Linked DNA regions of Sus scrofa. The protein of the gene in region 1 purifies or fractionates together with the protein of each later gene. This does not show direct contact. Links are inferred from orthologs where the notes say so. Each region holds a gene or a part of one and is shown in the gene's direction. Other genes may lie near its edges.

The links. Proteins that work in one complex are often made in the same cells at the same time.
Region 2: the proteins of IQGAP1 (region 1) and HECTD1 purify together in Homo sapiens (affinity purification with mass spectrometry; 3 studies listed by BioGRID, with this or other methods). This does not show direct contact. The link is inferred for Sus scrofa from reciprocal best matches to the Homo sapiens genes IQGAP1 and HECTD1.
Region 3: the proteins of IQGAP1 (region 1) and DIAPH1 purify together in Homo sapiens (affinity purification with western blotting; 3 studies listed by BioGRID and IntAct, with this or other methods). This does not show direct contact. The link is inferred for Sus scrofa from reciprocal best matches to the Homo sapiens genes IQGAP1 and DIAPH1.
Region 4: the proteins of IQGAP1 (region 1) and MYL6B purify together in Homo sapiens (affinity purification with mass spectrometry; 3 studies listed by BioGRID and IntAct, with this or other methods). This does not show direct contact. The link is inferred for Sus scrofa from reciprocal best matches to the Homo sapiens genes IQGAP1 and MYL6B.

The regions. Positions count from the first base shown.
Region 1 is NC_010449.5:53,121,479-53,124,978, forward strand, and holds part of IQGAP1 (ras GTPase-activating-like protein IQGAP1), read left to right. Parts: intron 1-1,629; coding exon 1,630-1,752; intron 1,753-3,500. UniProt on the Homo sapiens protein: Plays a crucial role in regulating the dynamics and assembly of the actin cytoskeleton.
Region 2 is NC_010449.5:68,317,575-68,321,166, forward strand, and holds the start of HECTD1 (E3 ubiquitin-protein ligase HECTD1), read left to right. Parts: upstream 1-1,460; intron 1,461-1,517; coding exon of another isoform or gene 1,518-1,571; intron 1,572-2,559; 5' UTR 2,560-2,701; coding exon 2,702-2,841; intron 2,842-3,592. Other genes in the region: uncharacterized protein LOC110261745, read right to left, coding at 339-1,460, 1,518-1,571. UniProt on the Homo sapiens protein: E3 ubiquitin-protein ligase which accepts ubiquitin from an E2 ubiquitin-conjugating enzyme in the form of a thioester and then directly transfers the ubiquitin to targeted substrates.
Region 3 is NC_010444.4:143,268,195-143,272,280, reverse strand, and holds the start of DIAPH1 (protein diaphanous homolog 1), read left to right. Parts: upstream 1-1,286; coding exon 1,287-1,403; intron 1,404-4,086. UniProt on the Homo sapiens protein: Actin nucleation and elongation factor required for the assembly of F-actin structures, such as actin cables and stress fibers. Binds to the barbed end of the actin filament and slows down actin polymerization and depolymerization.
Region 4 is NC_010447.5:21,553,034-21,557,150, forward strand, and holds the start of MYL6B (myosin light chain 6B), read left to right. Parts: upstream 1-1,317; 5' UTR 1,318-1,709; intron 1,710-2,043; exon of another isoform or gene 2,044-2,070; intron 2,071-3,027; 5' UTR 3,028-3,073; coding exon 3,074-3,295; intron 3,296-4,022; coding exon 4,023-4,050; intron 4,051-4,117. UniProt on the Homo sapiens protein: Regulatory light chain of myosin. Does not bind calcium.

The DNA.
Region 1 (3,500 bases):
CCATGATTTGTTCTCAGCTGCCAAGAAAAGTCTAAAATGCAGCCTTTTTGGTGCTGGCCACAAACCATCAGCCTGCCTGGTTTACAAGGAGAGAAACTGAAAATCCAGAGAGGCGAAGTGGTTAAGCACAGGTCCTACTTATTAAAAGTGATAGTAAACTTTTCATCTTAAATATTTTCAAACCCCAGAAGGGCTGAATGAATAGAACGCTGAACATCCATATACCTGTCGCCTAGATTCACCTGTATTTAACACTTTGCCACATCAGCTTCCTCTCTCTCTAGCTTGCTTGCTCTTCCATCTGTGCTTTTTCTCTCCCTCCCTGAAAACTTCCTCGAGTAAGGGAGAGCTGATGTGAAAACCCAACTTGCAGAGTTGGCTCCTGTGTCCTTTTAAAATGTCTCCATCGTTCTTTTAGCACCTCTTGACTTTGTGGCATAATATGTTTCTGGTTCAATTTGTACTTTCCCTCCCTAAATTTGGATTTAGCTATTTTTCCAAGCATCCCTGGTTCCTTTTAATGAAAAACGGTATTTAGAAACCAAGATCTAGGCACTAGATGTGCTCATTGCCACACAGACATCATTGTTTCAGGCCTTCTAAGCGGACAGAGCTATGTTCTTTCTTTTTTGATGGCTTGGTGGTATTCCATTGTATAGGTAACTATAAGTGCTTAATTCTCCATTGTTGAGTATTTACATTATTTCCAATTATCATAAAAAATTCTGTAACAAATAACTTCTTGTACATATTTTGCAAATATAGGCATGTTTTGGAAGATAAATTTCTATAAATGTAATTGCTGGGTCAAAATTTTGTACAGTTGTGATTTTGATAGATATTTCAGTTGCCAGCCTTAGGGATTATTCTCTTATACACAACTACCAGCTTTTCTGTCCCACTTCTTTGAGACCCTCCCCTTGAGAGTACCAGGTCTCTTCTCACTCGTTTCTTTTCTTTGCTTATTTTTCTTACCACTTCTTGCTTTGGGTATCCCAATAGCCTTCCAACATCTATTTCTTTTTCCTTGCTCACATTCCTCTATAATTGCTATGCTGGCTCAAACTCTTTTAAAAATTACATATTCTAGGAATGCCCTAGTGGCTTAGCACGTTAGGATCTAGTGTTGTCACTGCTGTGGCCCAGGTTCGATCCCTGGCCCAGGAACTGCCACATGCTGCAGGCATGACCAAAAAAAAAAAAGTTAAAAAAAATGATGTATTCTAAGACATTTTTATTTTTTTTCTGCACAGCCAAGAGGCTTAGAGTCATTCCCCTGGGGTTCAGTACAATTCCCTCAGGCTGGCATTAAAAGCCCTCACACTTACTTTCACTTACTTTAGATGCTTAGGTTCTAGGGGGGACATAGAAGGATTAAGATATTGTTGCATTCATGGTGTGTCCTCAAATATAATTTAAATCAAAGTAAAAGCAACGGAGTAATGTTTCTCTGTTTTGCAGAGATGTTGCTTTGTCAAATCCTAGCATTTATTTGCCATTCTAGAACTGGCTTGTTTCTTAGGCTTGTGTATGGGAAGTTTGTTTGCTGATCTCATATCCTTGAATTATCAACAAAGATTCATAATTGATAGTTATTTATGGAAAGTGACATGATGTGATTTTTTACAGGGTCTCCAAAAAGCCTAGGGAAATGAAAGGAAAGAAAAGCAAAAAGATTTCTCTAAAATATACAGCAGCAAGACTACATGAAAAAGGAGTTCTTTTGGAAATTGAGGATCTCCAAGTGAATCAGTGAGTATTTATGTTTTTATTGTTTTATATATTGATTTTTAAATTTATGCATTTGTCATATCTTTATCTTATTGACTTTGTTTCTCTGGATAATCATTTTTATATTTTATGTGTATAATTAATTATGTGCAGAATTTGGCCTAATATGCAGTTAATTTGTCTCTCATGGAAAAGAAGGTATTTCTTTTCCTTGTTTGTGGAACATTTGTCTTGGGACATTTTACTTTTCCTTTTTAAAGCAGGAAGCCATTCCTTCCATTTATTTCTGTGTCCAAACTAAGAATAAATAAGACGGATGAGAAGAGCAGTGCCCTGCATTTCACCTGAGGCTAGGAACCTGGGACTTAGCTCATCTTCTTGGTTTTACTTTTTTTTTTTTTTTTTTTTGTCTTTTTTTGTCTTTTTGTCTTTTGTTGTTGTTGTTGTTGTTGTTGCTATTTCTTGGGCCGCTCCCGCGGCATATGGAGGTTCCCAGGCTAGGGGTTGAATCGGAGCTGTAGCCACTGGCCTACGCCAGAGCCACAGCAACGCGGGATCCGAGCCGTGTCTGCAACCTACACCACAGCTCACGGCAACGCCGGATCGTTAACCCACTGAGCAAGGGCAAGGACCGAACCCGCAACCTCATGGTTCCTAGTCGGATTCGTTAACCACTGCGCCACGACGGGAACTCTTGGTTTTACTTTTTACATTATCACACATGTGTTATCACACATGTGATAACACCTTTATCTGTAAACCTTTGTTTTTTTATGGTGGATGCTTAAAAATGTAATTTCTAGTCAGAATATTAAAAAAATGTTTGTTGTACAAAAACACAAAACATAAAATTTACCATCTTAACTATTTTTTACAGTGTACAGTTCAACAGTGTTAAATATATTCTTATGGTTGTACAAAAGAGCTCCAGAACTTTTCCATCTAACAAAACTGAAACTGTGCCCTTCAGACATAGTTTAAAGCCCCAGCCCTGGGCAACCAACATTCTCTTCTCTGTTTCTATGAATTTCACTCCTCTAGGTGCCCCATAGAGGTGGACCCACACACTGTGTAAGGTCACTTTTCTTTCTGTGGTTCCTTCACTTTTAGCGTGATATCCTCTCAAGGTCCATCCATGTTATAACCTGTGACAGATTTCCTGCCTTTTTAAGGCTGGCTAATTTCCCATTGTATACATGGCAATGGGAATGTTTTGAGACCCTACTTTGAATTCTTTTAGATATATACCCAGAAGCGAGATTGCTGGATCATATGATGGTTCTATTTTTTATTTGTTTGTTTGTTTGTTTAGGAACTGCCATACTGTTTTCCATAGCAGTTGGGGGAAAAAAAAGTAATAAAATAAAGTATTTTCTTTATTTTATTAACTAAATAAAACAAAGTATTTTCTAGGAGTGTCTGAGAAGTGTGTGAAAGCGCTTACCTCACTACTTCTTTGCTGTCATTGAATAGTAAAACAAGTTTTGATGTTTTTGAATCAGTGCATTAAAAATGGTAGTATTTTAAAATTTTGCATTTTTTAAAATTCCAGGTTTTTTCTTTTTTGGTGTATGTGTGTTTAAATGTGGCTTATTATCTATATTTTCTCTGGTCACTTTTTCATTCGGGAACCTTGGTCTTTTGGGATTATTTTTTTAGTTGAGCACTTTATGCATTTTTCAAATCTGTTTCATAATATTTACCATCTCCTCCCTTCTTTTTGTCATTATTTGCCACTACTGTTCAAGTGCCTACCATTATTTTGACTC
Region 2 (3,592 bases), about 15 Mb from region 1:
GTACAGTGGGTGTCTGGGCATGGGTTTACCTATCTCACAAACCAAGGCATTAATTTCTTGATTTTAAAAAAAGGAAGCTATAGTCACATTTCCAATTAATTATATCCTAAATATCTCCATGTACGTACCATAAGCAAATATATTTTGTTTTCAACGCCTGTGAAACAGAACGTCCGAAGGGAATAATTACAGACATTCTTGCGACCAAAACCCACAGGAAAAAATCAAAAGCACACTCGCAGTGCTGCTGCTTACTGGGGACGCCATTGGGCCTGAATTCACGCTTTTGGGAGCCTCAGTTCTCTCATCCGTACAATGGAGAGAACACTCGACAATATTTACTTCCCCGGAGTTGTGAAAGATTTTCTTTCCAACGAACTGCGGGCGGTTTGCCTCCTAGGACCGAAGGGAGGCGCTTCTCCTCCCGCGACACTTTTCGGTGCTCGAGGAGGGGTGACCAGTTCTTGGCCGGGTACGGTCGCCCTGGTAGGACGCCAGGCAAAGACAGCCTGGGCCGCAGGTTTGACGTGCAGCCTGAGTGCCGTCAGCAGGAGCGCGCCAAGTGTGTACACACCGTGCAAAACACGCTGAGCGTACGTGCAGCCGCGCGTGCGGGGTGGTGGGAGCGCGCTCCGATTGATAGCATAGTGAAGGTGCAGGGCGTACGATAGTAAAGCGACAGCTGACAAGGCCGAGGGAGACCGAGGCCCGGAGTGCGAGAGAGACCAGAGAGAGGCGGCGACGCGTCCCGCCGCCTGGCACCCAGGGCTGGCGCCCCTTGCGCCACTGGCCGACCGGCACCTGCAGCGCCCCACGTGGCGGCCGGCGAGGTCGCAGTCAGTAGAGCCCATTTGCTCCGCCTCCGCGCCGCACGGCTGCCCTCCGCAGCTTCCCCGCCCGGCTCTCCCCCGACCCTCCTCCCTTCCCCCTCCCGGATCGCGATGGACGCGGCCTCCCCCGCCGCCGCCGCCGGCAGCACCGCGCGGGCCTCTGAGCTGTAAGGCCGGAGGAGCCGCGTGCCGGGGACGGGACGTGCGCTGGCTGCCGCTGGTCTGGGGAACCTCTCGCTTCCCCGTCACCAGGTCCCCGCGGAGGAAGGGGAGGGACGAGGAGCGGCTTTTCCTGTGCCGCTTGCCCGGCTCGACCTGCGCGGCCTGCGGCTTCCTGGGAACTCTAGGGCCGCGGCCGGGCCTGGCTCTGCCCGCGGCCTGCTTGGAGCTGGACCGGAGTGGTTTGGGAGGACAGGCCCGGGTAAGAGCTTGAGGGAAGGGGAGGCGGGGACTCCCTGGGCGGTCGGAACGGCCCTGGTGCCGGGATGAGGGATGCCCGGCGGCGGGCTGGGAGCGAGACCCCGGCCCCTGGTAAGGTCGGCGGCACTGCTGTTGACTTACCCTCTTAGCCCCTTTGTTTCCCAGCCTTGGCTCTGCCCGGGGCGGGACCCGGCTTGTCCAAGCCGGAACCTACGGCAGCCCCCCCCCTCCCCTTGTCCTTGAGAAGGTTTCGCCGCCCGGCGGGGCCAGGGACATCTCCCCGGGCCTCGGAGTTCCGGGCGCCGCTCCCGGGAGACCCATCTCCGAGCCCGCCTCGGTGGCCTCCTCTAGGGTAGAGAGGCTTGCTGCTCCTCCTCCAAAACTTCCCCCTCCTTTTCGACACAGGTAGCTAACTTAGCCGGGTTTGGTGCCAGGAAACCGGAGCGCGGTGCCTGCGCCTCTCGGCGCGGGGTCGAGTGGGCCTAGGGTGTTGGGTCACCCCTGCTGACGGCCGCCGTTGGGTGCCCACTGGAACCTGCCGCTGGGTTTATACACCTGCACCTGGGTTGCAGGGGACCCAAAGCCGTCTCTCCTTCACGGCACTTACGAGCTTTTGTAATGACTTGCCTGTTGTGGTTGCTTTTCCTTCGCTGTTGTTGTTTTTAACCAACTGCCCACTCTATGGGGACAGGGAAAGAGGACCATAGATTAGCCTATATTCTGATCCGTAATGTGTTAGTCCATTGTACTTACTTTTAGCATTTCTTTTAAAACTTTTAAAAACAGTTGCCAAAACAGCCAAAATTCCTAATCAAGTTTTTATTCCTAGATAGATCTTGTGTCTATCATTTGTATTTAGATATGGTAAGAATAGCAGTAAGTAAATCGAGAAGTCGGCAGAATTTATGAAATTGGAGGTAATTTTAAAATAGAAACTTAATTTGGAGAGGGATTAGATCAAAATTCTTAGTCTCCTTAAAATACTGATTCTCATCCTTATCCGAAGATCAGTTTTGGGTCGAGGAGGGGAAAGACGTTTGCTGAAAAAAAAGAACTCATAGTAAGGTGTTGTTTGCCTTTTGGCACAGACATTAGTGATAGCAGTACTGGGATAGGAAGCTTGTTTAACTGTCTTTGACAAAGACGGCTCAGGTTTCCAGTTAAGCAGCAACCTAATCAGCTTATATTCTTGTTCAAAACTGGTTTTTATTTAGTGTGATATATGAAGTTAAACCGAGGAATAAGGAAAGTTGAAAAACTGCATTAAGCTCTCTATCCACACACACTTATGAGTCTTTTCTAATTCCAGGAGGACACCACGAAAATTTGGCTCTGGCCCGTGTAAAAGAAAAAAAAAATTTAAACCCACCCTGATCATTTCTGGACATTTAGAGGAATTTTTGCTTTTACTTTTTTAATTTAAGCAAAGAGCCTTTAAAAAAAAAAAAACCATGGCAGATGTGGATCCAGATACATTGCTGGAATGGCTGCAGATGGGACAGGGAGATGAAAGGGACATGCAACTAATAGCCCTTGAACAGCTATGCATGCTGCTTTTGATGTCTGACAACGTGGATCGTTGTTTTGAAACGTAAGTACATCCCTTCATCATCTTCCTTTGGAGTTGCTGTAGTGACATCTACATGACATGTTTTCAGCCATTTCCTGATTTTAGCTTCTGTAGAATTTTCTTCAGTGAGTTTTAAAACTTTTAAAAAGTTTCTGCAGTTTTGCATTTGTATTTTTCTGAGAAATAAAAATTGGTAGGTGAACTAACTCCAGTAATGATAGTTACGACACAAATACATGTTTGTTGAATGAATAGGAATTAGTAGGGAATACTAATTTTAACCTTGTGTGTGATTGATCCATTTTCAGAATATTTTATGAACTGGGAAATACAAATACTTCTTTAAGGTTGGTTATTTCTGTATGAAAAAAATTGGCCTGAAATTAACAAAAGAATACAAACTATAATGAATATATGTTTCCAGTTGCCCTTGGTATTAATTCATGACACTGCCTTTGTTAAAGCAAATGATTGGTTTGTAAATTTCAGTTTGGAGCAGGTATAAATTAGACCTTACCCATATAACATACTTTTTGGAATAGTAGAAGCAAACTTTGAGGTTTGTAGAGTTTAAACAGTTTCATTCAGAGGTTATGTAGAATTTGCAAAAATGTAAAGGAACTAGATTGGTCATTAATGCCATATGTTTCCACTTATATGCTTGCCTAATTAGATTAACTGTTTTGAATGCCAAACACACTGGTTTTTGCTGTTTATTTTATATTTATATTTACAATTTTGAATTCCAGTGATAAGTGAAAACTCAGATGCC
Region 3 (4,086 bases), on another chromosome or scaffold:
AAGGAGAGATGAAGGTCAGATTTAGGAGCCAGCCAGCTTGACAGCGTCCCTGTAACACGCCAGACCCTAGACTGAGCACCGGGGGCTTCCTAGCGAGTGAGTCACTGACTCTGCCCTCCTGGAACATACAGTTGAAATCTCGCCAATTGTGGGCAAGATAAGTCAGTCCAGACTTTGAGGGCCCACTGGGTGCCACCTGCTTTTCACTTAGGGGACAGATGTAGCTGGGACAATAGATGAAATTAATGAGGGAGGAACGAAGCTAGTAGGGCAAAGAACAAGCTTGGGGAACACCTGTTCTTTTTCCTCAGGTTTGGTTTATGTCCGTAGGGAATCCTGGCTGGACATAGATTGGCAGTCAAACTAAACTGGTTTTAATTTTTTTTTTAATCACTTAATTATGTGTCCTAGGGCAAGTCACTTAAACTGTGAGCGTCCAAATTTCCTACCTTTACAATGGTATGCCTAGTGGAATCTATCACGTGGCATAGTGAGGATTCAGCAAGAAAATAAGGGCAGCGTTTTTGCATAGCGTCTGGCCTGGCACAAGTACGTGGTAAATGGCTGGCTATTGTTAAGGCTCAGGCACACGAGGCAATAACCAGTGTCTCCAGATTAGACACACAGAAAGTAGCAGGCCTGAGATTTAGAACTAGGTGATCTACCTCCAGAGCTAGCTGAGTTCAGTCTAGCACTGGCCCTGGACATAGCTTTCAGTAGATGGTGGCTGTGGCTTTTTTTCACGTGCTCCATGGCTATTGCACAGGTTAAAACTGGATTATCTTAGAAAGCCTGGCAATACATTTTCTGCCGAGATAACAGTCTCTCTTTTGCGATTTTTGGTTCAGAGAATCACATTTTGGTCTGGGGTGTGAGAGGGTCCAGGCTTTACAGCCACGTGGGCACTGTGTGTGGGAGCAGGGAGGCCTGCGCCTCTCCAACCGCCAGGGGGCGCCGACCGGAGAGCGACACCGCCTCCTCACCACCCCCCCACGTGGGTCCGAATGGTTAGGCCCGCCGGGCAGGTAGTGCGCTTCCGCGGCCTCCCCCCCCACTTCCTCCGTTGGTAGGGGCTGCGGGTCCGGGCGGAAGTGGGGCAGGCGGGCGGGAGCGAGGCGTCGCCGTTGTATATTCATGAGGCGCGCGCAGCCCGGCATGCTAATGAGGCGGGGCGCGGCGGCGGGCTGAGGAGCTGCGGGGCGGCGGCGGCGGCGGCGGCGGCGGGCTTGGAGCTGCGGGGCGGGAGCGGCGTAGGCGCGGGGTCAGGAGCCAGCGCGAACCTGGACATGGAGCCGCCCGGTGGGGGTCTGGGGCCCGGCCGCGGGACCCGGGACAAGAAGAAGGGCCGCAGCCCGGACGAGCTGCCTTCGGCAGGCGGCGACGGCGGCAAATCCAAGAAATTTGTGAGTGTCCCTCCCACCTGGTTCCCTCAGCCTGGCCCCGTAACCGCCCTCCGGAGCCCGGAGACCCTCGCTGCCGGCCCCAGGGGCGCACGCCGGTCCCTAGGGAGCCGCCCCCGCGTCTCCCTTCCTGGTTTTGCTGGGTCCTGGGCTCCGCAGCCCGACCTCCTACCGCGCCGGGACGTCGGGGAGCCCCGGAGTCCCCCCCTCGGCTGCTGTCCCGGCCACCTCGGGGCTCCCTTCACCCCCGACCCCCCGCCAAGCCCGCACGCTCTGCCCTCCGCCCCCACGGCCCCGGCCGCCCTCGGCCCCATCTCTCCCCTCGGAGCCCACTTCCTTTCTTCTTCCTCTTGTTACCCGAACACGCCTTCTCTACCTCGATGCGCTGTGCTTGTCTGGGTCCATTTTCTCTTATTACCCTCCCCCCCTCCCTTTTGGTATTCTCTTTATTTGCGTCTCCAAAGGTCACTTCCTTCCCCAAGATTGATCTCTTTCACCTGCTAACTTTCCTCCCGCCCAGTCCCCTCTCTGGGCCCTTAGCCCAGTGTCACCTGATAATCCTTCCTCTCTGGAATGTTACCTGACTTGGGCCCTCCCTTCCCTCCTCCCTGGACGTCCGGCCTTGTGCTCGCAGGAGTGGGTACCTGCCCAGTTCCTCTGGTCACTGGGCATAACCTTCGTTGGCTTCCCGTATCGCCCTGCCCTGAGAATCTGTCCCTTTGCCCTCTTGCTGACCACTTTTCAGGGGGTTAGAACTTCTGAATAAGCCCTTCTTGACTTGGGATGGTGACACATCTCCCCCAAGGGGAGGAAGTCAGACTTAAAAGGCCGAGAAGCTTGTGAGGATCTAATTGAATTGCCGAGTCTGCGTTACCCCTGATAACCCGCCTGGGCTCTTCCGCCACCTCCTGTGCCCCAAGGCCCCTTCACGTCCCTTTTCCTACTCGTAGAAGAGTGTAGTTTTCCTTAGGTGCCACTTACTTCCAGTCTGAAAGAGTGTTGATATTCAGGTAACACTGCCATGTTTCATTAGCTTTGCACACCCTGAAGCTTCTTTTTCCCTCGTCTCTCCAGGGAGGTTTTGTTGGCTTTTTGCTGTAGAAGCTTTGAAAGTTATGGGGCGCTGTCCATGAGAGGGGGAAGTTTGGGATCTTCATAACCATTTGCTAGTTGAAACTGGAGTTAGGTAGTCCGCTCTCTCCAGTAATTACGCCCCCACCCCAGTAGCTCTGCTAACCCAGTGGTTTCTCACTTTTTCCTCTTTTCTCCTATTCCCCCCCCCCCCCCCCCGCGCCTTAGCATTCTGACCCAACTCCACAAGTTTTGGGGAAAAAAACTGATACAAAGTGATGGAAACAGGAAGAAAATATTGTTTTGGGACCTAGAGGGTTGAGATGTGGGGAGTATTAAACAATTAAAATAGTGACTCATCTCTTCCTACCTATTTCTAGCAAGACAGGTGCTTCTGGACTGTCCTTTCCAGGGCCTGTAGGCTGTCAGTCACTGCCTGTTTTTATCTGGCAAATGCCCTCCCCTTATCCTCCCCGATCCCTCCCTAGACATGCAGGTTTAATAGTAGGGACAGCCTTTCCCCCACGGTGACCAAAACAACATTCCCCTTGGTTTCTTTAGGGCAAGAATGACCCTTTAGTTAGTTAGGGAGCTTTCCTTCTAAGCCTTAGGTTCAGAGCCCATATTCCTTCTCTTTCTGTATCATTTTGTTTTGCTTTTGTTTCCATGGGTACAGTGTGACCTTCCTCACCCGATTCCAGCTATTCTTGCTGATTTATAGTGACCGCCGTGACGTGTAGATGTTTTTCAAGTTCTTAATAGAATGTCATATGCGCTTTTGTTTTATCTACCCCTTACCTTGTTTCACAAATTTGAGAATTGTGCTGAGTGCAGGGGGCTGAGCGGTGAGAGACCTGAAGATACTCAGCTTCTTTTCACCTGCTTTTTGGAATGTCCACGGACTCTTGTGTATGCTGAGTGGATTTGGCTCAGAGTTGTTGGTATTTGCTTTGGAGAGGGTGGAGCTGAACCAAGTTCTCTTTTTTTTTTTTTTCCTCTCTGAGGTGTTGATCTTAACTCTTAACCTGCTGAATTTTAAAAAATAAGCAAGCAAGTAACACGTACAGCTTGTGAGGAGAACTGCACTCCTGGCCAGGGGCTTGAAAGTTGCCGGCAGAGGGGTGCTGCTTAACCCCTTTATATTCCTCCCCAAGGCTTCAGGATGCTCTTTCTCATTGCTCTTTATGTAAGAACTCTGCGGAAACGAGAGCCTAGGAGGAGCACTGCAATCCACTTCTCTTTGTGTCTGGGTATGTACATGCGGGTGGGTGGAGTGGGCGAGATTGCTGGTTTGCTTTTGTTATACCCCTGGCTTAGTTTTCTTGAACTACCAGGCTGAACGTGAACGCAGAGCTGTTTCACCTCCTCTACCTTTTCTAGGACGCGCGTCCTCGGGAACCCCATAAAGATGTGCTTTATCAAACTGCCCTGCTTTGGACTTAGGGTGCCTGAAGGTTACTTGCATCTGAGGGTCTACTAATCCCTTTAGCTTCTACTTACCTTCCCAAGCTTAGGCAGATTCTAAGTACAGATGAGCTGATGAGAACACAGAGCTCACAAATGACCTGAGATCTGCTCTTACCTCTGTGGCATCTTGTGCGGAAAGGACACAAGG
Region 4 (4,117 bases), on another chromosome or scaffold:
GGTCACAGACAAAGCTCAGACCCCGAGCTGCTGTAGCTGCGGTGTAGGCCGGCAGCTGGAGCTCCGATTCCACCCCTAGCCTGGGAACCTCCATATGATGCAGATGTGGCCTAGAAAAAAAACAAAACAAACAAACAAACAAAAATTAAGTAGCCTGAAAAAGAACTCAAAACAATAGCAAATAAAACATCACATTTAAGCAGGCTAGTCTGAATCCACACTCTTTAGCACCCTCTATGGTTCATGCAGTACCTGCTCTGTGGAGACCTTCAGAAATGGTTGCTAACACCCTCCACCTCCTCATCGGTTATTGTTTTTATTATACAATCCATTTCTACTCTTCCAAAAAGCCTTCCCCAACCAGCCAACATCAATTCTGCACTGCCCATTAAGTTCATTTATGCCTCACTCTTCTGACCTCTTGTGGGCTTTCTACTCCCACCCACTGCCTGCAAGCAAGCCCGTGCAAGCCCCAATCTCCAGCATGGTATGCACCTTCAGGGCATTTACTCTTCCATCTAGTAGTAGATCAGTGGGGCTGGGCTGGTTCCTTACCAGCCCAAAGGAGACCTTTCAAAAGCATCTTGGGGGATGTACAACACAGAGAATATAACCAATATTTATAACTATTAATGGAGTACATACAACCTACCTGAAACAGAATATTCTGTACCAACCATACCTCAATTAAACACAAACAAGGAGTTCCCTCTGTGGCTCAGCAGGTTAAGGACACGACGCTACCTCTGTGAGGAGGCAGGTTCAATCTCTGGGCTCACTCAGTGAGTTAAGGATCCAGTTTTGCCACAGGTGATGTAGGTAGCAGATGCAGCTCGGATCCCTGTTGCCCTGGCTGTGGAACAGGCCTCAGCTGTAGGTCCAATTGGACCCCCCCCCCTCGCCTGGGAACTTCAATGTGCCACAGGTGCGACCATTAAAAAAAAAAAAAATCTAAAAAACAACCAGCCATCCACGGGAAAGAGATGTCCAATGCTGGGCAGAGATGTCTCAGAGTCAAGAGCTGGAGAACGCAGGCCTCCACTCCAAAGAGACCTGTGAAGAACAGAAAGGGTGCCTGATGCATACGCGGCCGCAGAATGGAGAAACTTCAACTCGGACTGCGGCAGGTTAGCCGGCTTAATTCCAAATTTTAACGTTTACTTCAACTACCAGTTCACTTCAAACAAACAACTTTACTGTTCCAAGTCATACAGCCACTCAATGGCCTCTATTTTCTACCGAACTGCAACAGGAAGCTAAACTGACCTAACCACTCGGCCCGGGGCCGTTAAGTGCTTCCTGAGCTACCTGACCTTCTATCTGAGCCTGGGGCAGCTACAACCCTTCCGCTGCTTCCGCGTTCTCACAGCGAACTCAGGAAAACAGCTCCGCCCACACTAAACAGTGAACTCAGGGCCAAACAAGGGAGATATTCTGAAGGGCCGCGCACGTTTTGAGAGTCAGTGAAAAGTACTTTTTCCGGGATAAGAAACGCGCCCCAAACATACTGAGTCACCAACCGCCGCTTCGGGCCGGAAGCCACCGCACTAACACCGCCCCCCTTACGTAGTTAAGCGGAGTTTCCCGTGAGCCTCCGGGCGCGCGCGAGGACTACGATTCCCGGCATGCTCGGTGGCTGGCGAAATTAACCCTTCAGGGACTGCGGCTGCCCTTCGCCCCGCCTCCTCCTCTTACCTGGACCCCTCAGGGTGAGTTTTTGGGGCTTTGGGGAGGGACTCTTTCCTTTATTTAATATTTAGGGTGTGTGTATGTGAGTGTGTGTGTGTGTGGTGTGTGTGTGTGAGAGAGAGAGAGAGAGAGAGAGAGAGTGATGTGCTTATTTTCCTAAAATGAGGCAATTGGCAGTAATGAGATTCAGAGACTTTTTTGGAGTGGGAGACCCAGCATCAACTCTCTGAACCCCAGGACCTAAGTGGGATCACTCTTATCTTCCTCGGAATGCTGTTTAAATCGTCTCTTTCTTTAACCCCAGAACAAAACTAGCCAGTGACGCCCCCCCCCCCACCCCATATGCCCGGACTTCGACTCTACCCCAGCGCTCCCAGCAAGGTTTGTAATCTGGCAACCTAGTCTGGAGGTTTTATTATCCCTCTGGTTGGGAATGAGTACTCATGGAGGCCAAAGGGCCTCCCACGTCCTTTTGGATTAGAGATTTTAGAAATTAAGCCCTTTGCCTCTCAGAGCCTGCCCTTCCCCCCAGGTGCAAGGAGCCCCTGCAGGTTCAGACACCCTACTTGTGTCTGACCTGAATGACCATAGGTTTGTGGACAAGTGTTCCTTCCTTGGGAGTATGGATGGTGGGTGTTAAACTGTCCTTGCCCGCATCCCCGCTCCTTAAACGTTTAACACTGGGTACAGGAACAATCGGAGGGGGAGGTCACACTCTTCTCTTACTATTCTGTCTCTATTTTGTACACAGTTCCAGTTCTGGGCTGGCAGGAAGAGGGTTAGAGAATTACAGTATTCAGGATTATGAAGCTGTGGGATCCACTATCCCTGCTTCTCATCCATGGTCAGAGAGGAGCAGAGAGTCTGCTTGTTTTTTTCACCTTTCACTACTCCCAGACCCCACTTTAACAATCACAGTTCACAAGGCCCCCATCCCTGCTTCAGCCTTCAAGAGTCTAAAGCTGCTAGGAAAAAGGGCTCTTCTGAGTCAGAGGGTTGAGGGCATTGAATGCCTGGATCTCCTTCTTTGCCTCACCCCTATTTTACTGTTTGTCACTGGCAAGCATCCTATCCTCACCCCGGAGGTTAACTCCCCCATTCTGGGCAGTCTCTGGCTTCCTCCCCCTGCCCCCAAAGGGGCCATTGTTCTGGTCAGCATTTGGGGCCAGGTGGACAGAAGGGAGAAGACCTTGGGGCAGGAGTCCTGAACCATAGGAGGCCAGGGGAGTGAGGGCAGGCCAGCATATCTCTCCTCTATCTCACCCTCCCCATCGCCAACTGGCTCCCTGCCCCTGCCCCCGCCCCTTGACATCCCAGACTCCCTGGCTATTTAAACAGAGATGGGTGCCCCCATCGGCACACTGTCCTTTGGCCACCGGACATCATGCCTCCCAAGAAGGATGTTCCCGTTCCCGTGAAGAAACCAGTGGGGCCCCCTAACCCCAAGCCTGCTGCGCCTGCTGCCAAGCCAGCAGCAGGGGCCCCTCCAGCCAAGCCACCACCAGCGTCAGCGTCAGCGCCAGCACCAGCACCAGCACCAGCACCAGCTGTCCCTTCAGCCTCTGCGAAGATCCAGGAGCCCCCCGTCGATCTCTCCAAAGTGGTGGTGAGTCCCTGGAAAGTGAGAAAAGAATTTGGAGGGAGTGGTAAAGGGTGGGATTCAGCCTAGAGGACTAGGGGGTATCTAGAAGGTAGGGAATCAGTAAGCACTGGATGATAGCGGGGGTTTCCCTTCGTCCCCTATTTGGAAGGATTCAGGGTCATGACTCTGCTATTGTCTTTGTTGAGCTCTTCCTCTAATCTATAACACGTTCTGTGTACGTATATACACACACATTCTCACTGACCCTCCTGCTGGAGGCAGGGACTGTGAGATGGGGAACATCTGGGTTCTGAGGACAGTTTCAAGGTGAAGGGAGGGAGCTGCTGCCGGCCCCTGGCTGACTGTTCAACACGAAAGGCCACAGCTCTGAACCCCAGGAAGGAAGGCTGAAGAGGACAGACTTGTTAGACAATCACAGCTGGGGGCCAGGGGTAAATTTAGCCTTTGTTCAGCCCCCAGTTATGTGAGGGATGCAGGGCTCAGGGCAGTAGAGGGAGGGGAACAGGTGGCATGGGATTAACCCTGTTCCCAGGAAACCCTCCCCCCAATAATTCCTCCTCTTGGGATTCTCCCAAGGTCTGGAGCTGGGAATGGGACTGAGGTGGCTGGGCTCCCAGCCTGGTCCCTTTGGGCCCCTCCCCAGAAGTGGTTGCCAGTTGGTCGGGAGGAGTGCTGGAGAGAGATTGAATAAGCCCTGTCATCCCTCCTCACCTGCTCTTTTCTTCCACAGATCGAGTTTAACAAGGACCAGCTGGAGGGTGAGGAGAAGCTGGTCCCCTGAGCCCACTGTCCATCCCAAGCCCCTGGTCAGATCCTCTTTCTATT